Rhinolophus ferrumequinum: one gene and its partners. The protein of the gene in region 2 interacts with the protein of the main gene of each other region in a pairwise test. Links are inferred from orthologs where the notes say so. Each region holds a gene or a part of one and is shown on either strand. Other genes may lie near its edges. The genes, in order: DMRT3, MTUS2, SETD5 and CTSZ.

Region 1 (7,389 bases), on a different chromosome or scaffold from region 2:
AGACCCAGTGTTATTTTCGGGGAAACACAGTAAATCCTATTCTCCTTTGCAATTACTTCTTTTCAATTTGGAGGGATCCGGCTATCTATCCCTGAATACTTAGAGTAAAAGAGAGAGCATCAGGTCTGATTTGTCCAGGTGAAATCAGTCTCCCTCGTTCATTCTCCCAAACGCTGTATCCTCCTGCTGCTGCAGCTGCAGCTCCACCTTTCTTCCTGCCCTCACTACCCCCTCCCAGGATTGTTTTTGGTTTTGTGACTCTTTAGAAGCCATGAATTTTGGCTACCCAGAAGAATGGTTTGAAGAGCACAGGATGTGGAAGGAATCCTCTCTTAAGACTAGGATCCCAAAATCCAAAGCCCTATTACAGGAGTGCTGCTGGGCAGGTGGCCACTGCAAAATGCTACCACTGACAAATTCAGATCCCTGCTCTAGTGCTGAGGAAATGGAGATAGGGAAACTGGAAACAGAAAGGTTAAGAAAAATTACTAGCAGGGATCAGCTTCTAGAACTGAGACAAAACTCTCTCTAACCTAAAGAAGAAAAGTAAACTAGGCCTTCTTTCTCTTCCCTCCTCCTATTCCTCTGTGGCTAATCTACAAATATGAAGAGATCAGACTGACAGAAAAGAGACAACTGGGGTGGGGGACATTACCAGAGAAATGCTTATATCCTATATTGGATTAAATATCCACAACATCCATGTTCAGCAAATTCTCTTCTGTCCTTACAATACCCAGTTCTGCTCTTCACATAAGACGTTCTAAGAGCTTCTGGCCTGGAAAGTATAACTGAGCAACAGGGCAGCAAAACTGTGCCTGCCAAGCTGCCTATCAAATCACCACTAAACCAGTGAGTCTGCACTTCCCCAGCTCCACACAGCAGTTCACTGTTCCTGAAAGCTTCTCTCCAGAAGCCAGAAGCATTCGCAGACCCCCACAATCTCCTTGGACGTGTGTGAGAGTGGGAGATATAGACAGAAGCTCTACCACAGTTCTACATACAGGGCTCTGGGCCTTCCAGGGCTTTCGCTCTCAGACTTCCAGCATACCCTTTAACCCCCTCCCTGAGAAGATGGGCTTTTTTCTTTTGTACATTTGCCACAATGAAAGGGAAACACCAAACACATGTCCATTGAATTCCAAGAGCCTAAAATTAAAGGAGCACTTGGGCTGGGCAGGACAAGCTAGAGATTCCTGAGGAGAAAGACTCAACTGGGGTCTGCAGACTCCAGAGGCCTGAAGGAGGGAAAGGGATGGCAGCAGGAGTTGGGGGTGAGGGAATCTGCCCACCTTCAGGGCTCAGGGCAGTCCACCCTCTACAAAGCAGGGCAGCGGAGAAGAGGAGAGTTGAGGCAAGAGGACCAGAGAGCCTTTGCTCCAAATCTGAGGTTTAGCAGCTGGAGGCCCAGGCTTACCTAGAATCGGGAAAGGGCTAGCCAGAGGTGGCCTTCCTCGCTATAGATCAAGTGTTGTTTGTTTCTTTAAACCACAGAGACAACTGAGGGCGGACCCAGTAAAGGTGTTAAAGGACCTGAGCAGTTTTGCAAAAGGAGTTGACTCTGGGCTCTCTAGATTCTGGGTCCTCGCTATAAGTTTAGAAGTCTTTCTGGCCCTTCTTAGCATTGCTTCTAAATGAGCCTTCTTTCAACAAATTACAAGAGGCTGAAGGCCACAGTGCGCACTACTACGCAGGCTTCGGGTTCGCTCCAGTTCCCCCAGGGCCGAGAAGCACGCCCAGCTAGCAGTCAGCCAAGTCTTGGGCCTTGGCTCTGTCCCTGCATCTACCTGTCCCTATCTCCAAATGCAAGGTTCCCTAGAAGTTCGTAGCCAGGAAAATCCTGCCGCACCGTTGTGTGTATGCCCGCGTGGATTTTTAATATGGTCTTGTTTCGACCTCTTTACTTTCCCACTGAAACGGCCACGTTCCCCTTTAAACTAGTGGTGACAGTTGGCAGGCCAGTCGCACAGTCCTGCCGTTTGGCTTGCCCACGGAATCTTTCCTGCGGGCGCCTGGTTCTACCTGCTGGATCCAGGCTGAAGGCCGGCTTCTGCACGGAGAGTAAGAACCAGCTTGGCGGGGTTTGGGGAGGAAGGCCCGGCCCGGCCCACTTCCTCAAACTTGCCTCCGGGCCTCCCAGGCAGAGCCGCCGCAGGAGCTCCGAAGTGTTTTCCCCCTAACGCCGGGCCCGGCTCCCGCCCCGCAGATGCTCTTACCTGGCTTGGCGAGCGGTGCCTGCAGCGCCCCGGGCTGGGGCTCGGCGGCCCAGCGTAGCGCGGCGGCGGCAGCCAACTCGGCGGCGGGGCGCGGCGGCGGCGGCTGAGATGGCTGCGAGGTCTGGGGCTGCTGCGGGGCGGCGGCGGCGTCCCCCGACGGCGGGGGTCCCGGCAGGGCGCGCAGAGAGTCGGGGATGAGACTCTCCAGGCTCTCGTTGGCCTGCTGCCGGCGCAGCGCCACCTGCGCCGCCATGACTCGCTGACGCTCGATGATGAGGATGCACTTCTCACAGGTGCAGTCCTTGAAGCGGCAGTAGCGCTTGTGGCCCTTCAGCCAAGACAGCACACCGTGGTTGCGGCAGCGCGCGCACTTGGGCGTGCGTTGCAGGGGCGCCCGCGGCGGCTGCGACACCGGGCCGCCCATGTACAGATAGGGGGAGCCGTAGCCGTTCATGCCCCAGGCTCCCGGAAGAGCTGGCGGGCTGGCGGCGCGAGCGGGCCACGGGACGCTGAACTGCGGGACTGGGAAGCCCGCTCCCGGGAGGCCTCCCCGGGGCGCGGTCCTTGGTCACGCAGCCCTGGAGGCCGCGTGCGTTCCGGGACGGCCGGTGGTGCAGCAGCCGTCTTTATGGCTTCCGTGGCGTTCGCAGCCTCAGCCTCCCGCTGGTACTCCGCCAGTCCCACGCGGGTCGCGTCTCTTCCAGCGGAGGCTTTAGCCCGCACGTCCTCCCTCGCCGAGGCGCTCCGGCGGCTACAAGGAGCCGGCGAGAACTCTGGTTAAGGTCTGAGCCAGCTCGTCTGCAGCTCCCGCGCTCGCTGCCCGGGCCCAGCACCTCCTCCACCGCCCTCCCCCCACTGCTCCTCCCTCCCAGTGTCACCCCCACCCCCGGGGTCCCGGACTCCTTGCACTCCCCACTCCACCCCACGCTTTCCTCCTTCCTTGCGCCCCTCGAGTGCCTACACATCACCTTGCCACCTGCAGCCAGGCAGCTCTCGCGGGGGCGCTCACGGCCCCCTCCTCCAAGCTCTCTGCGCTTCCCCTGCCCCTGGCGGGAGGGACTGCAGCGCTCTGGGACGCAGTGATGCACTCCAGGCAGAGAAGGGGAGGGTCAGCGGGGTGAGGGTGGGGGTGCCTATAGGCGAGTGAGCTGCCGGCTCCCCTTCGATCCCTTCTCCTCCCACCAGGCCTGATTTGGCGGCACCGAGCCCGAGGCTGCTTTTATCCCAGCACTTGGCCGCAGAAACGCGGCTCCGCGAGAACCGAAGCCTTCCGCAGCGTTGCGGATGTACTCGGGACCCGGCATGAGTCCAGAGGGTTTTAAGTTGGGGCGAGTCAGGCCCTGAGGCCACTGGGAGTAGAGTAGTGGAATTGGTTCAGGAAATTTGGGCTCTTTCTTGATTTCCTTTTGCAACATTAAAAAAAAAAATCTTACTCCTGCCGAAGAAAATGAATGTTTTTGAAAACCTGCTAGCCCAAGAATGACAACCCAGTTTGCAGGCACAGTCCTCCCTCTTCCGCTCTGAGTTTAATCTCTTTATTCTCCTCCCCATGTTTTAGTAAAAAAAAAAAAAAACAGTCTCAGTCTTGAAAGGAGGGGGAAGCGCTGGTGTGGAGGATTTGCGTTAAGTGCTGGGTCTAAATTTTTAGAGTGGACGAGGAAGCGACGATAGCGCCCCAAAAGTTACTGGCTATGATCTCCCCTCTGTCCAACAGCCACTGAACCATCAAACCGATGTCTCGTGTCACCCAATTCAAATCTCCACGGACTCAGGCACTTAGTAATAGATAAGGGATGGAGTCATTCTTCTGTCACCGCATTGTCTTTGGGGGGGGGCTTGCATAAGATGACAGCATCAAACTTTGTTTAAACTGTTATTTGCGCGTTTCTAATTTCATAGAGTACCGGTTTGGCCTAATGCAGACTAGCGCCGCAAACGCACAGGGACGACTAACCTCCACCCCACCTCTCAATCCAAGAAAACAAAAACAAAACACTGGAGGGTACAGCGGCGCAGGGCAATACAACTGCTCACTGCGAAGAGGGGGAGATGCCAGTCCCGGAGCTGGGTCCGCATGCTCTTGAGAGCAGACACTGAGCTCATTTCTGGGCGAATCGAATACGAAACGAGAGCGTAGTTGACTCCGCTGCAATAGCCAACCTTTCGGCCGTATAGCGGACCTTGTCACCTCAGGGAGGTCGCTTTTCTCTGCCTTGAAGCAAACAAGCAACCTGAAAACGTCCTTCTGTGTTTGTTGTGAATTCAAGTAAAGCACCTCCAGGCATTCTAGCAGCCAACCCTCCTCCTAGAAGGGTGATTCTGGGAGGGGAAGAGGGATAAAAAGGGCAGGTGTGTGCGTTTCCCCTGAAGCCCTTAGCCGCCCCGGCCCCGGGTTCAGAGCTGTCCGGGGGTTGGGAATCGCTGGATGCTGCTCTGGTGGAGATGAACAGGTACACTTGCACGAATGCTAACCCTGAGAGGCCTCCCCTCAAAACCGTGGTGGCACGGACCCCTCAGTCTTTTTCCCCTTCCTACCCACCCCCAACACCATCACCTCAATCCCTCCTCTCCTCCCAGTCTTCGCTAGGAAAGGAAGCCCAAAAACACTACAACCGGAAGGAACTTCATAAACTCTCGGGACTGGAGGCAGAGGTCACCCGCAGCCCGGTGGGACAGAGGCCGAGAAGTGGGGAGTTGGCAGCGAGTCGCTTCACGTGACAGAGACAGGGCCTAGAATGACATTGAATCTGGGAACGTTCGCGCTGAAACTTCCGGGTCTCTTGGGAACGCGAGGACCATGGATTTGTTTGAAAGCCACATTTCTCCTGATTTTGTCCAAATGGTCAGAGAAACCAGGAGTATAAAAATCATGGGAGTAAAGCATTTTTTTTTTTAAAAGAAAAGCAGAAAAGCTCTGCCCCGGGTTTGGAGGGCGGTGGTATTCCCACTAGCAAGACGACCCCCTTTCCTCCCTCGGTCACCTAGCCACCCTATCCCTTTGCTACTCAAACAGTCTGGCATTTTTTGGTCCTGGGGCACCGTTTCACTCCAGTGCACATCGGGGTCCGAGATCGAAATACTCATTTCATATAGAGCAATAATCCTCTTCTCATATTTGATGGGAATGTTTTCCATATCCCAGTATTTGACAACATCCCCCTATAGGGACAGGTTTGTATTTATGTTGGTAAAATGTCCCCTGCCTCAAAGTCTATTGTAACCCAACACCTGACAATCCCGAGTCCCATTTCTGTTTGCAGAAAGGGTTTATTCAAGCACATAATGGGATCCCAGCAGAAAGCCTTTTAGAACAAGGGGCTATGGTAAACTTCACCACATGAACTCCGTTTCCAGGGCTATTAAGCCTTTAATTGGAAAATAGCAGAGGAAATTTCAAGGTGACTATAACGTGTTAGCAGTTAGTGCAGAGAAGAAAAGCTGAAGCGGGGATGAATGTGGAAAGCATATGGTCCGAATCACATTTAGAAGGAGCGGCCTGCTTCTACTAAGTCCCGGCAGCTTACACTTATGGGAAAAATCATCAAAGACCTTGGAAAGGGAGGGGGAAGGATCACAAATAAATGTAACCTCACTAGACTGGACCCACTCGTGTTCTGCTCAGGGTGGGGTATGTGCATGTGTGCTTTCTAACCACAATTAACTGGGTAGAACTGTGACAGGTATTAACAGCGAAAGGCTGAAAGATAATGTGCATATGTGGTTCTCTTTCTCTTGGCCGGCACTCAATCCCATGGTGTGTGTATATCTAAAAGCTCGCGGAATGCAGGTATCCTTGCGGAGAAATGGAGCTTGTTCTGACTCCAAATCTGGGAGTCCTAGTAGTAGCGGCTTCTCGCCTCGAGAAACAAAAAGACAGTTTCACATTGTCCCGGCTGTATAATAAATCAGGCAATTTTCGGCTTTGCTGAAATCTCATGGAGGGGGAGGTCAGAGTTCCTATTTTGTCGTTTTAATCGCGACCACGGTGACGCTGGAAACCAGGGGCGTGCAGAAAGTCCTTTGAATGCAGGAAAACCAGCCCTGTCTCCCGGCCTACGAATTTCTCAGCTCTCACGCTGTCCGTGCCTCTAGGCATCGCTCTTTGGCTTCAAATTGAAAAGCGGGGAACAAATGTCTAGTGATGCGGTGGGGCAACTAGCAATCGATTTCTTGAGGTGACAATAATGCCCTTGTTCTCCCTCAATTAATTCATGCGCACCCACAACCCCCATGCATCCCTGAAGCCGCTCTCTGGGGCGCGGCGCAGAGGCCACGTGAGGCCGGGACGCCTGAACCTGCGTTTGGCGGTCCCGGGGGACGCGGCTGAGCTGAAATAAGGTCCTGGGAGGTCATGTCTTCATACCATTTTGGCAGTGGGCAGCCCGAGGATCTCCAGAGGCCTAGGTCTTTTGGAGCAAACAAGGGCGGGGAACGGGCTGCAACCCCGTCGGCCCTGTGCAGCCTCAGCAGATGCTGCTTCTCAGTCCTTCAGATTCTCGAACTTTCGAAGCCAGTGGTTCACGCCCGAGAAAGCGCTCCCATTGGTGCAGATTCATCAGACCCAGCCCGAACACAGGCTGTGCCCGCTCCCAACTTTTGGGGGTGGGGTAGGGATGTCGCTCCTGCATTGGGCCCACTGAGCGGCGACCTTAACTCCACGCTTTCGAAGGGAGGGAATGGAAAAGCGCTTCGGAGCGCTCCCCACTGGGCTGGGGTCCAGGTCCGCATCCCCTGAAGACCCCCACCCAGTCGCTCACTCCCCATTCTGGCCACGAGCCCCAGATGCCCCCGCGGCCTCCGCCTTTCGGCCGACCTGCGGATTCCCCCCTCAGATCTGGGATTTGGAGGCAGTGGCCATGTGCAAAAGAACAAGCTCGTCCCCGCAGGTAGCAGGAGGGCGTGGGTCAGGTCCCCACACCATTTTGGAAGAGGAGCGGAGTGGCGGCCTGCAGACCCTGTTTGCCTTCTGTGTAAAGGAAAAGAAAAAACTCCTACCTTCCAAGGTAAAATGAGAGCAGCACTGGCTGTAAAACCGTTCTTTTAAAATTAAAGTTTATTGGGGTGACAATTGTTAGTCAAGTTACATAGGTTTCAGGTGTATAATTCTATAATACACCATTTATATATCATGTTGTATGTTCACAACCCAGAGTCAGTTCTCCTTCCATCACCA
Region 2 (7,189 bases):
CTCATACAAACTGCTATTAAGAACAAGTTGATTGTTCATCCTAGTCCTTCCCAACCCGCATCTGTTTCTTGCAAGATATTTTCCAGGCCTGAGTTTGCTCACTGTTTAAAATTCCTATTAGAAACAGATGCTAAGGAGGTTACAAAAAGATCTCCCATAGAGCTGATGCTATCTGTTCCTGTTAACTTTGTATTAATGAAGCATGTTTGGGTAATTTTCTCCCCCTTCCCCTGGCAGTCCACCTCTGAGATGTGGAAGGGGTTTAACCCACTTTCCTCCCTTCCCTGTTCTGCCTCCAGCTCACACTCAGATCAAGAGAGTCCCTATTTGTGTGAGATCCCAGGCACAGCTGCTTCTCCAGGTAACCACCTGATCTCAGGAGCTCTACACAGCCTTAGGTTATAGCAATTTGCATTTTCTCAGCAGGTCAACTACGGTACTGGCCAGATTTCTTATTTTGTCTTTTCCTAAAACTACAGGCATTAAAATAAGGAAAAGCATTTTTGTAAGTTAACATTTGAACATAATTTGGAGACAGGGCAGATTTAGGGTGCACGGGGCCTTACATTTAGATAATGGGAGGTGGGAGTGGAGTGGGGAAAAGTGTCCTCATTTAATAAGAATCCAAAATTATCAATATACACATGGTATGACCATGTGAGCATATTGCTAGTGGCCCTCCCAGGGGCTCGGAAGAAGCCTAAGGGGGGGGCCTGTGGCTTACGATTCATTAGCTTCCCAGCCAATCCACCTCTGCTGGGAGATATAAAAGACTAGAGAGGTTTATACCGCAGCACTCAAATCTGTAGAAACCTGCTAAGCATAACAGTCTTATGTTACATCAGTCCTCTAGATACTATTCTTATCTCTCTTTCACAAACCTCCACCCGCTGCTCCCTCTAATTTGATGGCAGCAATTCATTATAAAAGTGCGTGGGCTGGGCTGGGCTTTAACAATCCAGTACTGTGCCAATTATGCAATAGCCAAAACAGCCAGTTTAATGGAGTACGAAAAGCAAAGTCGGAGTTCTTACATAAGCCTTCATACACCATCCATAAGATCTGCTCCCAGACTGGAGTCTCTGGAATTACATAAGGTAGATGGAAAACACTGATTCAGCAGCCAGGTTTATTTCTGACCTTAAAAACAATCAAAGCTTTTTGCATTTAATTTACTAGTCTCTATTAACATACGTTTTTAATTTGATGGAGAAAACAATCTTTAATAAGACTTGCCATCTTTTCATATAAACATAAAGGGACAGCCTGACACTGCTACTCAACTTCCCTGTCACCTGTGCACAAAGAAATGTCCCACTTAGGATGCCCCTACATATTCAACACGAAATTACGGGTCTCTGATAAACATCAACTACTCTTTGCCAGTTTAAAAAAAAAAAAAAAAATCAAGAAAGATACTTAGACAAAAATACAAAAGTGTACATGCTATAATTCTTCAACACATGTCCTTTCCAATACCATTTTTCTCTTCCCCATATTTTTAACCACTTATTTATTTATTTTTTTGTTTTACTTACTTTAAACCACTGTAGCCACACCTGGGGCTACAAAGTGACAAATTTTAAAACACAATGCTAGCCAATGGGTCTCACCCCTGGCTACACATGACAACAACCAACAGAGCTTTTAACATTACAAATGCCACAGCATCACCCAAAACCAATTAGAATGAAATACTGGGGTAGGGCGCAAAAGGGGGTGCCTGACATCCGTATATCTGATGCTTTCTACTTTTGTCTTCTTACCTGAAAATAACCATAAATATGATAGCAGGTTTGGGGGTAGGAGATCTTTAGTAACTGGCAGCTCATAATTACTAAGTTTCCATCAGCTATAAAAGTAAACTCGTGCTATAGATTAAAAGCTATAAAGGATATCTGTGGGATCCTTTTTTATTACTATTGATAAGTAGTCAAAAATTTTTCACCAAGTTTCTTAATGGCCTTTACAAAACCTACCTTATTTTTTAATGTTTAACAATTCTACCTAATGAGTTCAAAGACAGGGCCCTATACTATCTTAAAGGGTGTCTCAAGCTAAGATCATGCTTATCTTCAAGTAAAGTTTTGGTTTAAAGTAGAAATGATGGTTCTCACCTATCTTCACCCTCCCTTCTTAGATGCTCTGATAATCCCATTTATAACTTTACCAATTAGCAAATATGTTTTTCAAGCCCTTACATAACAGAGAGTACAGGCGCCTTTGGTATCCTGCCAAGAGTACTTCTTGCCGTGTTTGTATTTAAAATAGAATGGTAGTAACATCGCTTGTGTGCCTGAAATTCCTTCTGTGCACAGGCTCCGAATGAGAAAATGGATGTAGCAAACCGCTTCGCTGCTTTACCATTATAAAGCTCAAAGGAAAGAATACAGACTAAATTAAGACGAAGACACAGAATTACCCAAAGCTGGGGGCAGGGAAGGGGGCTCGGTTTAACTAACCTACCATCCCCTCCAAGACCGAGGATGTTTAACCTGGCAGCACGCGAAGGTGCCAAACGAGCTGCAACACCTCCGCCCCAGCAGGGAATGTGGCAGGCCAGAATAAGTGCCACGATGACAGAAAAGCCAAATAAACGCTGCGCTGCCCGCCCCGGCTGCGATCACTCCCCAACGCCGGCACCTGTCTTCCCGCGGGTTCCAGAAGGCAGGACCAGAGCCCAGCCCTGAGTGCTGAAGGATGCGCTCACCTGGGTGGGAAAGAGCCAAGAAAGGTGTCCAAGAAGCCACCACTGCTTTAATGGACTCTCATCCCGGACCGGTTCCGACACGCTCCCTCCTCTTCTTCCTCCTCCAGCTCGAGTTTTCTATTTAACGACAGGTCGGGACTCCACTGACCGGCAAAGGATGTCCTCAAAGGGGGGCGACAAACTTGCCAAGAGAAGCCGGCAGACGTGGCGCAGGTGGAGAGCAAGGGACGCCCCCGCACCTGGGGCCGGCTCGTCAACGCTGTCCCCACGGTCGCGCAGGCCCCGCCCAGGCCGCCGCCCGCTCCGAGCGCCGGGGCAGCGGGGGACGCGCACGGGGGCCGTCGACGGGGCGCCGGGGCGCTGCCCTCCCGGCCGCTGCAGCGCTGTCCCTGCGGCCGCCTCCGACGGACAAAGGGAAGCCGCGGAGCGGCGGCGGCGAAGCCCGGGCTCCGGAGCGCACCGCGCAGCCCGCGCAGCTCGTGAGGTGCGGGCCGCGGTGACAGCCGCCGGGCGGCGAGCGGGCCCCCGCGGGAGGGCGGCGGGGACGGCAGCGGCGCGCACCCTCGCGGCCGCCGGGAGACGCACACGGCGGGGCCCCGGACGCCTCCTCCCGGCCCCGCGGTCCGCAGCCCCGCCGCCGGGAGCCGTAGCGCCCTCTGCCGGCCACGCGGCCGCCGTACGCGCGCCATCTGCTCCATCTCCCCGCGGGCTCGTGGGCGCCCAGCGACATCGCGGTCCCCGAGCGAACCCGCGACTTCAGGGGAAGCAAGGGGTAAGACAGGAGGCGGGGGCTACAGGGCAGGGAGCTGCGCACAGTGGGATCTGCTGTTACCCTCTTGGGAAGGAAGAGGGAGCATCTTCGAATTAGGAGCAGCAGGATGAGTTAGGATTCAGCAGTGGGAAGAACTTGGAGGGCGGGAGGATTCCCGGTGCTCAAGGAGCCCAGAGTTGATCTCTGGAAATGTCTCCGGAAAAGGCAGGCGTTTCTTTCTAGAACCAGGTTTATGTCTGTGTTTAACAAGCACCAACTGTGCCTAACTCTGTTCGAGAGGTTCTAGAGAACCTTGACACCTCTGATGAATAAATATATTAATGACTTCCCGAGGACCCTTCCAGTCCTGCGTGAAATGCTCCCCGCTGCCCTAAGCAGTGCTCCTAGAAGGTTTGGAAAGGCAGGCGAGGTCAGAGAGCTTCAGCTTCCTCTGGTTCCCACAGCAGGGGAATAGACATCTACCATTATGAAAAGGAAATGCTGGGGCTGGTCTTTGCACTATTTAGGTGTTTTTTTAAGGTGGGGTCATTTTTCCAAACTACCATGTTAAGCAATATTTTATACCAGTTAATTTTATTAACAAGCTGGACTATTTGGTGAAATCATGAAGCAGCACCTTTTTTTTCCACACCACTGTCTTTTTAAATTATTCTATCAGATCTCCCTTCTCCTCTAGCAGAATCTAGGGCAGATTTCATAGCTTTTCCTGTCACTTTCAGGTGTTAATCAGCAGTCTGATTCTCCGGTATTAAAAAGTCCAGTCCAATTCAAATCAAAGCGTCAGTCCCATTCCACTTAAGCCTTCCCCAGACAGCTCCCACACCCACCAGCTCCCATCCTGACCCAAGCTCAGAGCCTGCCTGGGGAAGAGAAACGTCACTTTTTCCTTTCTTGTTCTACATCCTCCCAGCTAGCCCTGTGAAGACTGATGCTTCCAGGGTGGCAGGGTGAGACTTGTCCCCTGCACCAGGCCCTGGTCCTCGCTTCCAAGTCCGCTTTCTCCTCCAGTAGTCCCTTCACACAGACCCTCTGCAAGGTCACCATTGTGGCAGATCCCACTATGTTCCACCATGTCTGTACAGGTCACTGTGACAGCAGAATACCGTCCTCATTCCCTGGTCACAGGCAGCTCTGACCAGCCTCTCTCCTTGAAGCTTCTCGTGTAGGAGTCAGGCAGCCATCTCTGGACTCATGCATGTCCCCAAACCCAGGTGATACATGCCAAGCAGTACACGTTCTTTTGCATGAAGTAGCTGTTATACTCTGCTCTCCCTCACAGCACCCTATAATTCTCACTGCCCGCCTTCTCCCTGACCTCTCTCCCCTTTCCTTCAATTTGGGCTGACGGCGGCAGAACCCTTACTCAGCATATCATACAAAGGTGGGCCAATGCCGCTATTTGAAATGTGGAGACACCTCTTTCTGTGGCAGCCACGGAGGCATGCCACTCAAATCTCAAGAGTATAAGTGACAGCCTCCAGCTGGCACACCTTTGGATCCAGCATGGCGCTCACACCAAGGTCACACATCCTGCCATCTGTTCCCAGCCCATGGCTAAGTCTGATGGGAGAGCTGGAGCTGGGCTGTTTCTGCCTGGCGCAGGACCCCTCTACTGGGCGGTGTTTGTTCCAGAACTCCCCATCACCCGAGCCCTGCAGTCTGGAGCTCTGTCTATCCAGCCTCCCTCCCATCCTTTCACAGATGTCAGCTCCGTATCATAGTTGGAAAGCAATCCTCACCCACACGCCAACCTCCTTCTCCCTCCTCCACTACCCCATACAGGTGTTTTCTCAACATTTCTTCTGCACATCTAACCCTTCTTGGCATCTGCCTCTCAAAGGTCTCCAACTGGCACAGTCATCTAATGTTCCCAGCAGGTATTCTAAGACAAGTCCCATTTTAACACTTGGTTATGCTTGTATTTAGAAACTGTGAAAATAAGAGTAGAATGTTCTTTTGTGGGGACAATGAAAAAACGATCAGTATAGCCGCCCACCCACCCAAGCGGAAGCTGAATAGGAGTTGGATGCAGAGAGGTTCTTATTGTAGGTGAGCCCAGGAAGCAGTAGTGATGAAATTGAAAGATTGAGACAGGGAAGCACGAAAAGTCACTACAAAGATGTGTTATCAAGGTCACTGCTATTCACAACAGGTGCTCAGTACAGCAGGATCTCTGAGAAGCTTAGAAAGTCTTCCCAGAATTGTCGTTTCAAAGACAGGGGCTGAGCAGTGACCATCTGGCTCCTATTCTCTGTGTATTGGAGCTGCCTTTGGGGCTTTAACTCCCACAAAATTCCAGTCACCCAGAGTTTTAGAAAAGACCCTGCAGCATCCTTTTATTGGGGGGGGGAGAGATTCAGGGGCATCATCAGCTTGAGTTGCAGCTCGCAGGAGGTCCAAGAGCAGCCAAGGAGATGTGGTACAGGACATCAAAAGTGTCTGCTACAGCAGGTATCACAGATTCCCACTGACTTCCCAGACTGAGGGGCACACAGGTAGTCAAAGGCATCTGCCCTGTGTAATTCCAAGTTGCTGAAATGTCCGTGGAAAAAGACAGAGGAAGAAAGGGTAGGGCAGTGTTTGCAAGTCATGATGACACTTGGCAGGGGACTGGTGTCTTAGTTCATTCGGGCTGCTGTAACGAAAATACCACAGACTGGGTGGCTTATAAACAACAGACATTTATTTCTCACAGTTCTGGAGGCTGGAAGTCTAAGGTCAAGATGCTGACAGATTTGGTGTCTGGTAAGAGCCAGCTTTCTAGACAGCCGTCCTTTCACTGTAACCTCAGGATGGACAGCGTAAGGGAGTTCTCTGGGGTCTCTTTCATAAGGGCACTAATCCATACATGGGGGTTCTACCCTCATGACCTACTCACCTCCCAAAGGCCCCGCCTCCTAATACTGTCACATTGGGGGGTAGGTTTCAACACATTCTGGGGGGGCACAAACATTCAGATGATAGCAACGGGTTTACCACACCTCAGGATGTTACTAGGGGTCAGAAACTGTGGGAAGAAGGAGGCCAGGATCAGACAGAGGGAGTAACTAGACTGTAATTCAAGTCCGACAAAGCCTCAGCCAGACCAGGGGAGCTCTGGAGCACATACAGACTGGTGTGCCCGAGGCTGTTCACAGCAGCTTGCAGGCACCAATTATTCAATGTCTTGGAATTTTGTCAGCCAGTAGTTAAACACAGCCATCATCGAAGATTAAATTATATAAACTTATAATTTTATGTATATTATATTAAAAACAAAGTTAACTCTTCATCACTCATTATTCTGCTATGTGTATAAGGTCTGACAATTAAGTTCGAGGACTTGTTGCAACGATGTTGCTAACTTTTTTGATATCAGAGGGGTTATTCATTAGGAATTTGTACCCACTGGACAGTTAACCAAGTTTACTATTAGTGAAAAGTGCTGAAAAGGCTGCATGAAAATGTTAGACGAAAACTACCTGAATTTTTCACCAACAAATTCATGGCTCTTGCATCACGACAATGCACCAGCTCACATGGCACTGTCTGTGAGGGAGTTTTTAGCCAGTAAACAAATAACTGTATTGGAACATGCTTCCTACTCACCTGATCTGGCCCCCAGTGACTTCTTTCTTTACCCAAAGATAAAGGAAATATTGAAAGGAAGACATTTGGATGACATTCAGGACATCAAGGGTAATAAATATGATGACAGCTCTGATGGC
Region 3 (7,762 bases), on a different chromosome or scaffold from region 2:
AAGCTGTACGTATTTTATATAAGAGACTTTGTACCACTGAACACATGGGGTGAAACATGACAGCTGTTTATTAGCAATGTCTTTTTTTCCCCTTGGATAGGAAAAAAGACAGTGGCATGAAATAAAAGATGGCCATGGAGATGCAGTTATGTTTGTTGTATCTCACTCATCTCCAAACTGGGTGAATATGAACATACGCACTTCACGTGCAAGTCTAAGGAACAAAATCTATATTGTGGAGGTTAAAGGCCATCTGCACAACACCTTCTATGTCAAGTACAGCATTTAATATATTGCTATGCGTGCCACACACTAAAATTTAAGCTCTTGTCTTTTGATAAGGAACCTTTGCAATTTCCATACTGGTTATTGATTCAATACATAGTTACATGTTGACAGGTAAACTATAGGATTTCTTAGGATATTCCTTGACATGTGTATCAGCTCTTAACTATATTTTAAATGGATTAAAAACTTTAAGTGTTAGGATTGCATCTCTTTATTAGCCAACTATTTTATGCAAATGTAATTATAGCCTCCCCCTTACCCCCGCTACGTTTGAACTGCTATGACAGATTGGCACAGACACAAGAACGCATGCGTACAAGAGATATACTCCATCAATGGTCTTCAAAGTACAATAGGCAATCTTGCTGCTATAATGCTACCTCTTGAGAAATCTGAACTTTATTTACAGCAGGATTGCAAATTCAGAAAAATTTTTGCTCCTATTGTTATACCTAGAGGTTTTCCTACAAATATATAAAAAATGCATAACGTATAATGTTGCCATCAGCTTTAAAATCCCATGAGGTAAAGTCTAGGTCTTTTACTTGGTTGAGTATGTTGCCCTTCATACCAGGTTTAACCTTCGTGTCAGTGCCCAGAACAGAATATGCATGGTGAAGCATTAACAAATATCATCAATAATTTAACAGAATGGTACATAATTGTTGACGTTTTCTTGCTTTGCAGAAATACCGAATGAACAACTGTAATTAGTTATAACCACAGTATCTACTGGAAATTATGAATGAAAATGCTTCAGGAAATAGAAACTTTGCAGTCAAAGTTTTAGGCCAGAAGTATTTTTTTCTTTCTGCAATTACTTCTGGACCCCCAGCTATAAATATGGGTAGTCATCTCTGTACTCTATCAAAAATATCAGTTTTAAGAATAGTCGCTTTAGGTCTTTTTCTTATCTATTTATTCCAAACTCACTGATTTAATCTCTGTTGAAATTTCTCTCAAATATGTTAATGCTATTTACCTAAATAGTTTGTTAGTTAATTCATATAGGAGGCTAGTGGCTGACCTCATAAAAATCTATTAACACTACACAACTAGTCACCGACTAATGTAGGAAGATTTTTAAGTACTTTATTTGGAAAATAGTTATAAAATTGTAAACCTCAGCTATTGGCCATAACTGAATCTCTTTGGCATGCAAAGAAATAAAAACAAAAGAGGAAAAAACCCTGGAACACAATCCACCCTTCCCCACCCCCCCACCCTCCGTCTTTGTTTTTATATGGGAATAAGGCCAAAAATTGCTTTAAATTCTAGACCACCCCAGAATATAATATACTGCTTCTTAGGGTAGTTTCATTTTAAGTCTTCCTCTTTAAGGAAGCCAGTAAACAAGTGGCTTTGTGAAGAAATATACATGCTCTTTACTATCATAATATTCTCCGTTTTAAGGAAGAAAACCACTATTAATCAGGGACGCAGTTGAACCCAGAGTTCTGGTACAGTTGCTTTGCTTTGCTGAAGGGGGAAGAATCCCCGGGGACTGTGAAAATGGCAAGAGAAACAGGGGAATTAGAGCAACACCCACCTCACTCAAGAAGTGGCTGTGGGATCAAGAGTCTGAACTGGACCTGAACATATTCAAAACACCAGGATTTTTCCAGCCCAGACCCTAATCCCTGGTACTGCCTGGAATAGACTTGGCTTCTGGGGGTGTGCTGCCCCCTAGGCCCCTTGGGTCTCTTTCGCTGGACTTTCACATCCTGGTGTAGTGCCACTTCGTCTTGAAAGGTAGGGGGCTTCCACTTCCTTTCTGTAAGCAAGGAAGATTGGGTACAAGGGAGGTAAAAGGACAAGAGGGGGAATCTGTGAGCAGGGGGAATCTCGGACAACTTAAAAGAGAAGGGATACAAAAGGCTAAATTTTTTAAAACTGTGAATAATATATAAAGTTTTATAATGAAGGCCTACCTTCATTGCCATTTGGCACTTAAATTCTTCAAGAATTGAGAGTCTATTTTAGGGATTGGGCTTTTCGACAAACTCTGAATTCCTAAAGCTGCTCTTAGCTGAAAAAAAAGTTTGGTGCCACTGATTTTGAAGGTCCTCTTTCTAGGCAATGAATATTATAAAAAACAGATGACACTGCTTTCCACATTTTCTACCCCAAAATGTCAGAACATCTAAGTAACCGGCCCATATTCAGTTACAGCCCCTTTACTCTACAACAATGAGAAGTACATAGGAAGAGGCCTTCAAGGAAAATCAGTTGGAGAGAACTTCTCGTCATCTCCGTCCATCAGAAAAATCATTAACTCTACTACAGCAGGTAGTGACACCTATTTTATTTCAATCTTCCCCACCCATTAATACAAACAAAAATGCAATCACTACTTTGCAAATTTAATTCTATTAATGATTTACTCAGAAATCCTGCCCCCACCCCCAAATTCTTTTCCTCTCTTTTTTCCCTCCAGCTTCTAAGGGAGAAAGGGAAAGGTCTAATGTCATTTACAGTGGGCTAGGTTTGGGTTTAGAAAATATTGTATATTTATCATGAGATGCCCATAAGAAAGTTGTCTCCACACAAACTGGTAATTCACCTATGACCTAGGAAGTTATCACTTACTCTGATCCAGCAGCCATATCTGAATAGGATGTATCTGGTGTGGTGACTCCCAGAGGGATTGCAATGCTCATGACGTCCAACACAGCAGAGAGTGGAAATCACGGGGTCCAATTAATGGAGACTGGCCACTCTGAGAGTGGGGGTGAGCTGCAGAGCCTCAACCAACATGTTATGGACATGAGGAATCCTGGCACAGAAAAGGAAAATATCTAGTAACCAGACAGTTCTTTAAATTCATCCTAAATACTACTAAATGGTTTTTCATTTTTTTGAATAAAGCTTTTACAAGGGATAAATATAAAACAAGTACAGCAAGGGATCTACACATTATCCCATGTTTACTATGTACTATATTAATGTTCCACAAAGTAAGGTAGCAAAAGTTCTGCTTACTTTTCATTTTTATTTTAATTTTTTTCTTTTCTGATAAAGGGAAAGTAACAGTCTGCCCAGCTCACTAATAAGTACGTTTCCCCTATTCTACAATCGTTCATCAAACAAAATTTCCTGGCAGCCTAGGACCTAACAACTAACAATTTTTAAGATATAGGATGGTTAATAGAATTATCACAATTTAATTTCTTTTTTAACAATTCAAGATCTTTCATTTAAACTCCCCCCCGCCACAAATAAATGCAGTTTACCAGAGCCAATAATGCTATTTCTTCCAAATTAAATATGAGATCGATTTGTTTCTTTTTGATTGGATACAGCTATTTCCTATTGCCTTCTTTTATCACAGAACACTGTTCCTTTATAAAAACCATTTTTACTTTATAATTTTGGGAGAAGATCATCTTAACTACATTTGCGAGGTAATATCCACTGCTAGGTATGAATAAAAACATAAACCACAAAGAATATGGTTTCATGATAAAGATTAGACAACTTTCTATGGAAAAGCAGTGAGGATATCTTGAATTGGTGGCCATATACAGACTGGAATTTGGGAACAGAAAGACTCAGCAACTACTGAAGTGTAAAAAAGCAAAAGTAGATTAAGAGATTTTGGAGGTATGGTGAAAAGGGAAAACCGTATACTTCGTATAGTTTTACATTAGTTGTTGTATATTGTTAAAAAAACACATTGAAAAGATGAAATAAGCATTTCATACGGAAGAAAGTCAATGTGAATGTTAAAGACTCAGCTTAATAAAGACTGCAAAAAAAAGACTACAAAGAGTCATGATTCATATACTGATTCATAAGAAATAAGACACTAGAAAAGTCAAGAGATTATACTAAAAATATTAAATGGAATGAAAAGTGTAAGATATTAATTGAGCCAATCTAGGGAATTAATGCAAATTTTAAATGGTAGACGATCTGAGATGTTTGAATCTTATTTTGATACACAAAGCAAATTAATGTGGATAAGAAAATCAATTATGAACAGTGAATCAGGCCAAGATTTTTAAGAATGCATAAAGATAATATTACTTCTTTGTGCCATCATTTTAGAATGCTTGAATAGCTATACACTGAGCAGTCTTCCCTGGAACCTATACTTTGAAAGAGCTTGATCTCACCAAAGGACCTCTCCAAATATGGGTGAGGCAATACAACTGTTCCTATTCAACTCAAGGTGACGTATTGCTAGACTTGGGACCAAAATGAAAAGGGCAAATCTTCCTATCCATTGCTTCCTCACAGGTCACGAAAGAGAAGTGATTAATGTAACTTTCTGCCTTTGCGCCCATCTTACATACAATGTTTTCTTTGACCCTAACAATATGTCCAAATAGAGATTTAAGCAGTATATCCTCAACGTCTCTGGGAAACTGAAACAAAATCTACAAATGACAGTAGAACACTTATCAAATAAGCCCAAAAGGCATAAAATTAAATATTGGGGATTGTTGGTTACAACTCTGTCTCTACTTTTAGTATCACCGTATAATTTGAATTAAAAATAAAAAATAAAAAAAGCCCTAAAACTGCCTGGCTTGATAATCAGACAGTGTGATAATGATCATACCTTCCCTGATTAATACAGGAATCTGAATCATGTACTATATATTTTCAGTAAAGGACCAAAAAAAAGTTACTTAGCACCATTAAAAATCCTTTGTCACTGCTATACTATTATATGACCATAAAACAATGTAGGCTTCCAGATAGAAGTCAATTTATAAACCTAAGCTGACAGTTGTTATTTTTCTGAGTAATTTTAAAAAGATATACCAAAAGGAAAAGACGAAACAATTACTTCAGTATCTCCTTAATAAACGAATAAATGCTGAAGACATTCCTTACTGCAATTCCGCCCTTGCTAATCTGGATAGTTGAGAAACAATTCTGAGAAACATTAAGTAGCCAACTATAAATTTCTCTCATGAATTTCTCCATTTTCCTTTTATCTCGTTTTACCCTTCCACTCCTCTAATGAAAGCAATCATTATAATAAGCTTCACCATCTTGTTCTAAATAATATTTTCACAATATTGGAGCTTCTTAAATGATAACAAAACCAAATTTCTTATATAACTCTGAGAATAGTTCCTTCCCTAAATAAGCTGTGCAAAATGCAGCTATTAAAATGTTAACTAAAGAACTTTTAACAGATCGTCTATACGCAATATTTTCTTAAAATTACTCTAGTTTTATAAGCCAAGACGATAGATTCCTACTATAGTTTACTAAGCTTAGTAGTTGTAGCAGTTATTCATCTGCTATAGTTTGGAGATATGTCCTAGAGAGATTGATAAGAATTAACTCTGTCTCTAGGTGGAACAATTTCAAGATATCTTTTACTTGTTAATTTGTCTGTCTCTTCCTAACAGAATACAAACTCTATAAGGACAGGTTATTTTTGTTTTATCTTCTGCCATAGTTCCAACATCCAGAACAGTGCCTAGTACAAAGAGGGTGTTTGAGAAATATTTGCTGAATTTTGATCATCATCTCAACATATGATTTTAACATTCATCAAAATACAAAAACAAATTAAAAGAATTAAAACAAATTAAAAGAATTTGGCTCAGTCACCTTTTTATAGACCTCTGAATACGAAGTCCCAAAAATTATGTCAGTAGCTCTGAAGACCTAGAAAAAGTTGAGACACAAATTAGTACAGAAAGAAGTAACATTGATGCACACAAAGAATTCTACAGAAATATTTTTAATGCTGATTTTGTTTCATCTCTGTATACTGTCTTGTTTAACATCTTATGTTCCATCTAGTACTATATTTTTGTCCTTTAACCTTTACATCCCATTTTCCTGTAAAGCCAGACCTAAATAAAGAAATGGTGGAGAGGAAAATTATCTTTATTTGACTTAAGAAGTGGTAAATACTTTGTCACTGGATAATCCTCTTTCCTTCAAATTAGAATTCTCTCCCATTTCCAAAGGGATTTCGTCTTTTTATCTCTCTTAGGGGTGCTTCTCTTCTCCACTGACCGCTTCCCAAATCCAGAGGCTTTTCTTTAATCAAATGTCAAATTTATTCTCTAGTCAGACAAGGACTTACCTACCCGTCACCTATTAACGTATAAGTCTACATTACTCCTTTCTTACCCGACACTCCATTCCACCTATAGCCTCTTGTCCTACTGTAGAAAGAGTGACAAAAGGAAGTCATTTCTATTTGTGGTCAACTCCATAACAGAAACATGTGGAAAAATAAGGCCTTAATTAACTTTCTACCCTCCAAAAAGGAAAGGAAAATAGGTGATGACCCAGGACTTTTAGGGGAAAAAAGTAAAATTTAATTAACACCTGCTATGTTAATGTATCGTATGTGTGAAAGGAGCTGCTTCTGATATTTCACATACCAAAGAGTAGAGAGGAAATGCACTTTATGTTGATACTTTTATGGATTTCCAATTTATTAAAAATTGGAAAATAAACTTTTTTTTTAGGAGGGTGCAGCTCAAAATGGCTCCTGCAGGGATCAAACCAGCAACCTTGATGTTAGTAATTAGTAACAATGCGCTCGAACCAACTGAGCTAACTCGCAGCACCGAAAATAACCTGTGCTTTAGAAACGATTCTAAAAGAGCATACTGTGTTTCCCCGAAAATAAGACCTAGCCGGACAATCAGCTCTAATGCATCTTTTGGAGCAAAAATTTATATAAGACCTGGTCTTATTTTACTATATATAATATATGTCTTACATTAATCTTTGCTTCCAAAGACGCATTAGAGCTGATTGTCTGGCTAGGTTGTGTTTTCGGGAAACATGGTACTAGGAATTATAAAAATAAAAGGTATGAAGATTACAGTAAAGAAAAAAAACGAAATAAACCAAGGACAACAAATAAGAAAGAATATAAGAAACAACAGAGGAAAAAGAGAAATGAGTAGTAGGGGGTTAAAAATGAATGCATCAGAATTTCAATTTAACTATATTCAAAAGAATCCATTAGAATCCACAGGAACACTAAATGGTACGTTCTTGGATTCAGAGGCAGAACCAGCCTGTCTCCCACTACTGAGTCCTCTTTTGAGAAGTCACCATTTACATAGTTTCTTGGGAAAAGGGTATTAAATAAAACATGTCAGAAAGTTTATAATTATTTGTCTTTTTAATTAGGTTCAGAAATGGTCAATAGTCTCTATATTTGTCATTCTGACAGTCTCTTTTCTATATGACTTGCTGAAAGCACAAGACCTGTGTGATTTGTCTGGTCACTCTCAGAAGACACACAAAAAGTGTTTTAAGAACAATTCCAACAGAGATTTCAGAAAAAGAAATTGCATCAGCCAGGTGAGCCGGAAGCAGCTGGGAGACAAGAGTCCCATAAACAGCCAATCCAATGAAAGAAATCCAGAACAAGTCTGCTTCAGTAATCCTGTGAAGAGGACTGGCAGGAAGAGGAGTGCCGCTTCAGAAAGAGAACAGGCCTCATATGCTTCAGACAGTCTTTGTACTGAGGCTG
Region 4 (7,914 bases), on a different chromosome or scaffold from region 2:
GAAGAAGAATAAGTAATTGTAAGAGAAAAGGAACTGGGAGAACGTCTCCATGTTTCCTTACGCCAGGCTGCCAGGCTTCACGGAGGAGCCTCAGACTTTCTCCCCCGGCCCAAGCGTGGTATCGTACCCACACCACGCTGGCCTTGCTGGGCTGCTGTCCCTCCCTTTCCAGCCTCTGAGCCCAGATGTGGAAATGCTGTGCCATCCCTTCCGGTACACCTAGGATCAGAGTCCTGGGCTGTGGCACCTCTGCTGTGCAGGAGGAAACACGCTCCCCCCTGAACCACTGTGAACCTCCCCCAGCCTCTCCATCACCTAAGGTGGGCAGCTCCTGAGAAGCAGCGTCCTGCGGCAAAAACAGAGATAAGCATGATAGGACCAGGCCCCTGGAGCTGAAATCAAACAAAAGTGGACACTTCTTCTAGCCCAGTGTTTGTCCAAGAAATCTCTATTGTATGCATCTCAGAAATCCATCCGTTTGTGCACAAATATTGGCTGAGTGCTCTGCTCTTTGGGGGGCTCGCGGGACCTCGGGGAAGGGGGGAACATGGGCCCTGCGCTCACTTCGGGGACACAGAGACACAGCAGTACTTTACCCTTTCCACTGGCCATTACCAAGTTCTGTGCCACCTCATTCAACCACCTTGGAGCTGGGTGATGATGCTTCTCTCCATTTTGCAGAGTAAGCAGAGGCTCAGAGAGGAAATCGGCCTGTTCAAGGCTAACACAGCAGAACCGGGCACCGGCCACAGGTCCTCGGACCCCTGCATCGGGGGGTCAGCTCGAGGCGTCGGAAGGCAGGCCAGCGAGATGCCTCCAGCTGGGCATCTGAGGAGCCTGGACAGCTATTTTCACCTTCCTCCTCACCACTGGCCCGTGCCTGGGTCCTGCCAGCCCTGCAGCCCAGATAGGTGGCCCCTTGTGTCTGCTGCCACCATCTCTCCAGCAGCACCCTAACCCGTCACCACCAGCGCTCCCATCTGCAACGACAATAGCTTCTAACTGACCGCCATGCTTGCCTCCTTCCATTTCATCTTCCCCCGGCCACCAGAGGGATCTTAACAAACATAAATCAGATCTCGCCTGCCGCCCTTCAGGAAACTAGCTGCCACTAGGGTGAAACCACCCCTCTTACCACAGCTGATGTGTGGTTGAGATCCTTGATGGGAAAACACTAGTGAGAGGAGTGGGAAGAGAGCCGAAGAGGACAGAGGTGCAGGCCTACCCTGAAGATGGAGAGAAGAAAAAGAGGCGGGCGGGAATGAGGCAGGAGTCCAGCCTTGATTGGCAGAGCCAGCAGCTGTGCTCCCTGCAGCCTGGAGGTCTGAGAGGTGCGTTCAGGGCCGCCTTCAAGCTCTCCAGGGACCTCACCCTGCCTACCTCTCGCCAGCCTCTCTGCTGCCACTCTCCCCAGCAGCTCCTTCCAGCTGATCATACCTACCAAGCGTGTTTGCATTTCAAGGACTTTACGTACTCTTCCTTCTGCTTAAGAAATCCAGCATTTTCCATGGCTCTGTCCTCATCATTTAATTCCAGCTCACTGGAGAGCTAAGAGAAGTGTCCCAGGCCGAACTCAACTCCCCAGAGCCCCTGCCAGTCTCTAAACCCCGCCCACCTCCGCCGAATTGATCCATCTCCAAGCCCTTTTCTACTTCCAGAGTCTGTTCCTTTATCTACATGCCCCTCACCAAGGTGTAAGCTCCCTGCAGGCAGGGACTTCCCACTGCTGTACCCCAGGGATGGGACACTAGTTTGGCACATACTAGGTGCTCAACACATGTCTGCTGACGGCCCGACTGTGGAGAGCCAAGCAAGTTGATCAGGCGAATGACCAAGACCACTGAGAGAGTTCCTGGGCCAGCTCCCAGGTGGGCCGTATGTGACATGCCGGGCCACGGCTGGCACGTTCTGAGGGCGCGGCTGACGGGCCACCCTCACCAATGTGACCCCAGGGAGCCATGTTCCCTCCCACGCAAGTGTGTGCAGCCAGGAGAGGGTGTGGTGACAATGGCGCCTGGGGACAGCAGCCAGGTTGACAGCGCTCCTGACCCGCCCCAACGCAGGCCTTTATTGTAAAGGCCTCTGGGAGTCAGCTGGCGCATCCGACCCAGAGGGCACGTGGTCCTGCTAGAGGAGCCCCTAGAGCTGGCAAGGAAGCCAGACTTGCCTCCCGAGCACTGTCAGCCTCCATCAAAACAAACGCTGGTTTCCAGGATGTGGCTAAACTCAGGAATGTGGGATAATAGGAAATGTCTGCAGCTTGCCGGTGGGAGCCAGACTACATGGCATGAAGGAACAGGGGAAGAGGACTTTGAGGCAATTCCACAGTAAACAAAAACTCAACCTGTATTTTCTCCTCCAGGTTGGGCAAATGGGCCAGCCCTGGCCTAACTAAGTTATATGTGCTCTTTATCGAGACGAAGGGGAAATCAACCTCATTTTAAAAAGTGAATAGGTTTTTGTGTCGTGGCCTTGGGTCGTGTATGTGCCAGGAGACCGTATGGGGGGGGAGGGGTGGCTAGATTCAAACCTGCCACCTACAAGCCTTATGCTGAGTACAGGTCTCTTGACCTCTCTGGAACCTCAGTCTTCCCACCTGTAAAATGGGGTGATAACATCACCTCACTGGGTTTTGCCACCATCAAATGAAGGCAGATGTTTCCCAGCCTGGAGACTATTCTAGAATGTCATTGTCTTTCCTTGTAAGCACCACTGGGGAGCAGGTACGACTCGGTTACATCCAGGAAGAAAATCCCAGGGCATAAAGCAGGTCGGCTTCTAGGAAGAGGACTTCACTCCGAGTCTCAAGTACTTATGAAATGTAACCCAGATGGGACAGTGGGGGCACACACAGCCAAGGAGAGCACTGCTAGCGCCAAGCTCAGGCAAGCAGGCCTCAGAGGGCAGCCAGCCGCGGGGCCCTGTCCTGCTCCTCCTCCATTCCAGACCACAGGAGCTGAGTCACAAATGTCCTCACAGGCACCAAGGGACACAGTTCCCAGGTTTGCAAAGTCCCGGCCGGAAGCTACCACTCAGGTGCATTGGTTTTGAGGAGAGATGGGTAGGCGGGGTGGCCGGTCCGGCAGGTTCTTTGGTGTGTTCTTCCTCTTCCTCTGCTGCAGCTGCCTTTTAGGTTTATCTGTGTGCCCTCCAGAGAGCTCCTGGGGCCAAACGCCCTTTGCTAATAGCAGTGCACCCACCTGCATGCTCTGACTGCATTCTGTGGCCAAAATTTGGGCTGGGTTGGTTGGTACCTGCCCGCCTGTCAGAGTGGTCAGCCAGGGGGACATGCATCCATACACTGACCACAGCCTAGTTCAGTTGTGAAGAAAGGGCCCTGGGTCTGCTTGGCTTCGTGTGTTTGACCCATCGGGGGCTGAAGAGAGAGTGTGTCACATCAGTCCTCACTTGTTTCTTGCCTTGAAAGTTGTGGTTTCAAATGTCTAGCCTCCTCCTGCCTGATTTTCCCATCAGCTTGAGTATGAGTTGCTTCTATGTCGGGGAAAGCCCAGGGCCACACAACTTGTCAACTCCAGATGCCCTATCCATTAGCAGCCTGAAAGTGTCACCATCCCTCCCTCCACTACCCTGCAGTCCACAGGGCTGAATGGCCTTCCCACGCCCTCCCTCACCCTTGCCCAAGACCCTGGCCTCTGGAGGCCAGGTGATCAGGCAGGCCTGTATGCCCTGTAGCAAATGAACTGTGCAGCCCAGCCTTACACCGAGCAAGGGGCCCTCTGAGCACGGGGCCCTGTGTGACTGCAGCGCACCTGACGAACTGACTGGCGCCAAGGGTTACCAGCAGCTGACTTTCCAAGAAGAGAAAAGGCCCTTCCAAGGATGGAGCCCGTGACTGCACTTTACCTCAGTGATAGCTGTTCAGGAACAAGGACTAAAACTTCTGGGCTGATGAAGCAATGCCCTAGGCCGCAGAGGCCTCGCCTGCTCTGACAGGTGTCCTGGCCCTCCAGGGATCCCTTGGCCATCTCAGCGCTTCCAGAGGTGGCCACAGAACTTGCTGCAAGTCAAGGAGACAGTCATTTTGACTTCTGATTGCCAGCTGGGCACGGGCTGAGGCGAGTACCCTTTCACGGTAGAAGGGGAAGAGCAGGGCAAGCTCACGCCTGGGGGGACCCCACAACAAAATGCCTGGACCCTTTGCTTACAAGACAAGGAAGCCTGTTGTGTCGCGTGAGGAGCAGAGGGAGGGAAGGAATCTTCAGTTATGAAACAAGGCCGCGGTCCCACTTCTGCTTTTGGTTCCCCATTTGACTCTGACGAATTTTGTTCGCAGGAAACCTTTTCAAGCATCTTTGGAAAGCAGAACCAACGATTTCTTGGCCAAGTGAAGTTTTCTTTGGGGGCATTTGCGGCCTTCCTCCTCCGTGAAGGGTGAACCTCTCTCCAGAGGGCCGGGGCCCTTGGGAAGCAGGGTTCAGAGAAATCAGGCCAGGGCCTAAATTCTGGGAGGACAGTGGCTTCCTTGCAGGACTTGGGGAGACCCCTGTCCCATGGGGGGGGCGGCCTGGGCCCAGGTCGTATGTGGGGACAGGCAGCACCGCACAGGGCCCAGGATCCCAAGAATCAAAGGCTGGGGAGCCATTCAGACCCTGCAGTTCCCACGCCAGGCCCCCCCCCCACCCCCCCCCCGGGCCCTCCAAGGTCTGACAACGACGTGCTCGGTCAAGCCACCAAGCCACGTGGCTGGTGGCCGGTGGCGGGTCAGGTTTGGGGTCTGGCGCCAAGCCTGACTCGTGACCCCGAGTTCAGGCCCCTCCCCCTGCCCCGCGGGAGGAGGTGGCTCGGCCCTCAGCTAGCTCGGGGCAGCCTGTGCCCCGGCGGCCGGGGCGGGGCGGGGTCACCGGGGGCAGGAGCGGGCGCCCCGCCCCGGGGGTGTGTCCGGGCACCCGCGCCACCACCTTAAGGGCCGGGCGGGGCCGGGGCCAGAGAGCCAGGACCGGGGCACCGGCGGAGGGGCACCCAGCGCGGAATCCGGAGCGGGATTCGAATCAGGACCCGGAGCGGGATCCAGAGCGGAACTGGGCGCGGGGGCCATGGCGTCGTCCGGGCCGGCGGGGCCGCTGCTGCTGCTCGTGCTGCTGGCTGGCACCGCGCGGGCCAGCCTCCACTTCCGCCCGGGCCAGGGCTGCTACCGGCCCCTGCGCGGGGACCAGCTGTCCAATCTGGGACGCAGGTCGGCGCCGGCTTGGGGAGCTTCTCGCGTGCTCCTGCCTTTTGGGGACCCTGCCGCCTCCTTGGAGTGCCAGGAATCTAGGCGCCCCGCCTCCTTTGACCTTTGAGGGTCAAATTTAGCACCTTTGTTTTGGAGGTCACTCTTGGCTTTCATATCCAGGGGAGCCCTGGTATTTGCAAAGCTGGACAAACCCCACTTTCCTGGCATTTGGAATAGTGCTTGGGGAGGAGTAAGGTTGCTGCATTTGGGGGTGCCCTGCCTCCAGAAGGGCTGGGGTCTTCTGCTGTGAGATGGACTCACTCCCACTCCCTCTCATTTAGGGGAGGAGCCGGTGTCGGGGACCCCTGTCTGTGCACGCGGCCCAGCAGCCCCAGTGCTGATTCTGTGGGTGGTGGTCTCTTTCCAGAACATATCCCCGGCCTCATGAGTACCTGTCCCCATCGGATCTGCCCAAGAGCTGGGACTGGCGCAACGTGGATGGGGTCAACTATGCCAGTGTCACCAGGAACCAACACATCCCTCAGTACTGCGGCTCCTGCTGGGCCCACGGCAGCACCAGTGCCATGGCGGGTAGGTGGGGGACCCGCTGCCCCCTTGACTGGGCCAGGAAGGCCTGTCCAGGCTGCTTCCTTGTCAGCACAGGAGGGCCGAAGCACAAGAGCCTGTGATTCCGTGCCAGAGCTCAGCCTGGGATGGGGAGGTGTGTGACCCTCAGACCTGGGGGAGCTGACCTGTGCCGCGTGTTGCCCCAGACCATCAAGGCAGGGCGAAGTGGCATAAGCTGGGTCGTGTCTCCACTATGCAGGGTAGGCCCCTGGGGCCCGTCGGTGGCAGGCAACACTAGGGCTGGAGCCCAGTGGCTCCCGGGTTCCTCTCCCAAAGTTTGTGAACCCGGCCATTTGGGATCAAACCAGAAATGCGAACTCCCCGAACTCCCTGCCAGTGTTTGGGATGGAAGTGAAACTGCCTTGCAGCCGCAGTTAATATTTGAGGTGAACGCCTGTCTTGCCCTGGGAGCGTTAAATAAGGTTGGCCCCTTCCCTCGTCTGGGCCTTAGCTGTCTGACCAGTGAGGAAGGAGAGGCAGCTGAGGCCCGTACCACTTGGAAGGCTGCGGGGCCTGGCCTTGGGAGAGAAGGGAGAAGGACAGACTTCACACCAGTGGAGCCTTCCTTCAGCCCCAGGCCCACCTGGCAGCCTGCGGGAGGGGCTCGGGCTTCTCCAGTGGCAGCCCTGAGTTCCAGGAACCTGCAGTCACACTGGAAGTCCCTTGGAGAAGGGACTCCCACTGGGAAGCTGGCCCCTGAGGGCTGGGGGCACCGTCTCCTCCCTCGCTGGGCACGCCTGCTGCAGGAGGGGTATCTGGGGGGTTCTCCCTGGTGGCCTTGCCCCATCTCCTTTTGACGACAGATGAGGAGACTCCTGAGGGTTGGAGTATAAGGGGGCAGGTCGGCTGAAGCCCCATTTGAAGGTACAGGAGCCCTCAAGGGAGCTGGAGATGGACAGGGCCAGAAGCTGAACGACTGGGAGAGATGGATGTGGGCAGCCTTAAGGCAGAGAGTCAGAGCAAAGGCCGGGCAGGCTGGCAGGCGGGAATGGCGCTCTGGTTGAGGAAGTGAAAGAGGGCCTTTGTGGCAGAGCCTAAGTGTGGGGGAGGGGACAGGGGAGAGCTGAAAAGGTCACAAGGGGCCCTGCCCCCAGGGAAGCCTCAGGAACTTAGAGAGGGAGTCATGTGCCAAGATTTGTGTTTGTAAGACTACAGGACTGGGAGGGGATGGCTAGAGGTGGTCACTTTTCAGATGGGTCAACCTGCCACAATTCTGGAGGGGAATTTCTATCCTGCGCAGAGAGACTGCGTCTCTCTTTCTCCTCAACCCTCTAACATTTTCCCCAGTAGCAGGGCCCTTCTTCCTCTTTCACTGAGAAAATATGTGTAGAAGCCCCCAGAAGGGGATTTCCACGGGCCCTGGCCCAGCTGCCACCTAACTCAGCTGATCCCCGCCTGTCCCCAGGCACCCAGCACCTGAGCCCCTTGCTGAGGCCCCTCCTCCTTGGGCTTGGACTGGACCAGGACTGTGGGCAAGGGCTTGACCCCACCCCGCCTCCAGCCACCACCCCACTGCTGCGCTCCCTGAAGAGGCGTCTGCAGCCCATGCTTCCTCTTCTCCATCCTTGAACCCACTCCGGCCTGACTTCCACCCCCCACTCCACAGGCATCGTGCTTGCCAAGGTCATCAGCAAGAGGCCGCCATGCTGGCAGGTCCAGTGGTCAGCCCCCAGGCCTCTCCGTCCTGGGCTGTGCTTGCTCAATCCTCCTTGTAACGCTTTCCTTGACTTTCTGCATAACCCGATCTCCTTCCTCCTCTTCGAGGCTCCTCAGCCTCCCAGCTTCACTAGTGAAGGTCGGGTTCCCCAGGACTGAGTCCTTGGCTGCAACCAGACCCTTCACCCGAACTCCAGCTTGAGACCCAGCTGCCCCCTCTCCCTCTCGCTTGGACACCGGACTCCTCGAACCTCATATGCTCAGATCTCAACAATTCCTCCTTCCCACCACCACCCTCACCCCTGTCAACGTAAAAATATCCAAACCTGGGGAGAATTTTTCTATGAGTTTATTTGAGCCCAAACTGACAACAATTGCCGGGGAGCAAGATCCCAAATGCTGTTTTATGCATTGGGAATGAAGGAGGGGAACGCGAGAAGAGTGCCTGCGGGTAGAGG

What was found.
Region 1: the proteins of MTUS2 (region 2) and DMRT3 interact in binary tests that used the Homo sapiens proteins (3 or more experiments, as listed by UniProt). The two-hybrid records come from large-scale screens. The link is inferred for Rhinolophus ferrumequinum from reciprocal best matches to the Homo sapiens genes MTUS2 and DMRT3.
Region 3: the proteins of MTUS2 (region 2) and SETD5 interact in binary tests that used the Homo sapiens proteins (3 or more experiments, as listed by UniProt). The link is inferred for Rhinolophus ferrumequinum from reciprocal best matches to the Homo sapiens genes MTUS2 and SETD5.
Region 4: the proteins of MTUS2 (region 2) and CTSZ interact in binary tests that used the Homo sapiens proteins (3 or more experiments, as listed by UniProt). The two-hybrid records come from large-scale screens. The link is inferred for Rhinolophus ferrumequinum from reciprocal best matches to the Homo sapiens genes MTUS2 and CTSZ.

Annotation. Positions count from the first base shown.
Region 1 is NC_046295.1:34,674,816-34,682,204, forward strand, and holds the start of DMRT3 (doublesex- and mab-3-related transcription factor 3), read right to left. Parts: upstream 3,019-7,389; 5' UTR 2,671-3,018; coding exon 2,217-2,670; intron 1-2,216. UniProt on the Homo sapiens protein: Probable transcription factor that plays a role in configuring the spinal circuits controlling stride in vertebrates.
Region 2 is NC_046287.1:100,557,671-100,564,859, reverse strand, and holds the start of MTUS2 (microtubule-associated tumor suppressor candidate 2), read right to left. Parts: upstream 3,018-7,189; 5' UTR 2,711-3,017; intron 1-2,710. UniProt on the Homo sapiens protein: Binds microtubules. Together with MAPRE1 may target the microtubule depolymerase KIF2C to the plus-end of microtubules. May regulate the dynamics of microtubules at their growing distal tip.
Region 3 is NC_046300.1:44,353,194-44,360,955, forward strand, and holds the start of SETD5 (histone-lysine N-methyltransferase SETD5), read right to left. Parts: upstream 3,016-7,762; 5' UTR 2,949-3,015; coding exon of another isoform or gene 2,878-2,948; intron 2,063-2,877; 5' UTR 1,838-2,062; intron 1-1,837.
Region 4 is NC_046306.1:3,336,432-3,344,345, forward strand, and holds the start of CTSZ (cathepsin Z), read left to right. Parts: upstream 1-4,907; 5' UTR 4,908-5,054; coding exon 5,055-5,194; intron 5,195-5,600; coding exon 5,601-5,764; intron 5,765-7,914. UniProt on the Homo sapiens protein: Exhibits carboxy-monopeptidase as well as carboxy-dipeptidase activity. Capable of producing kinin potentiating peptides.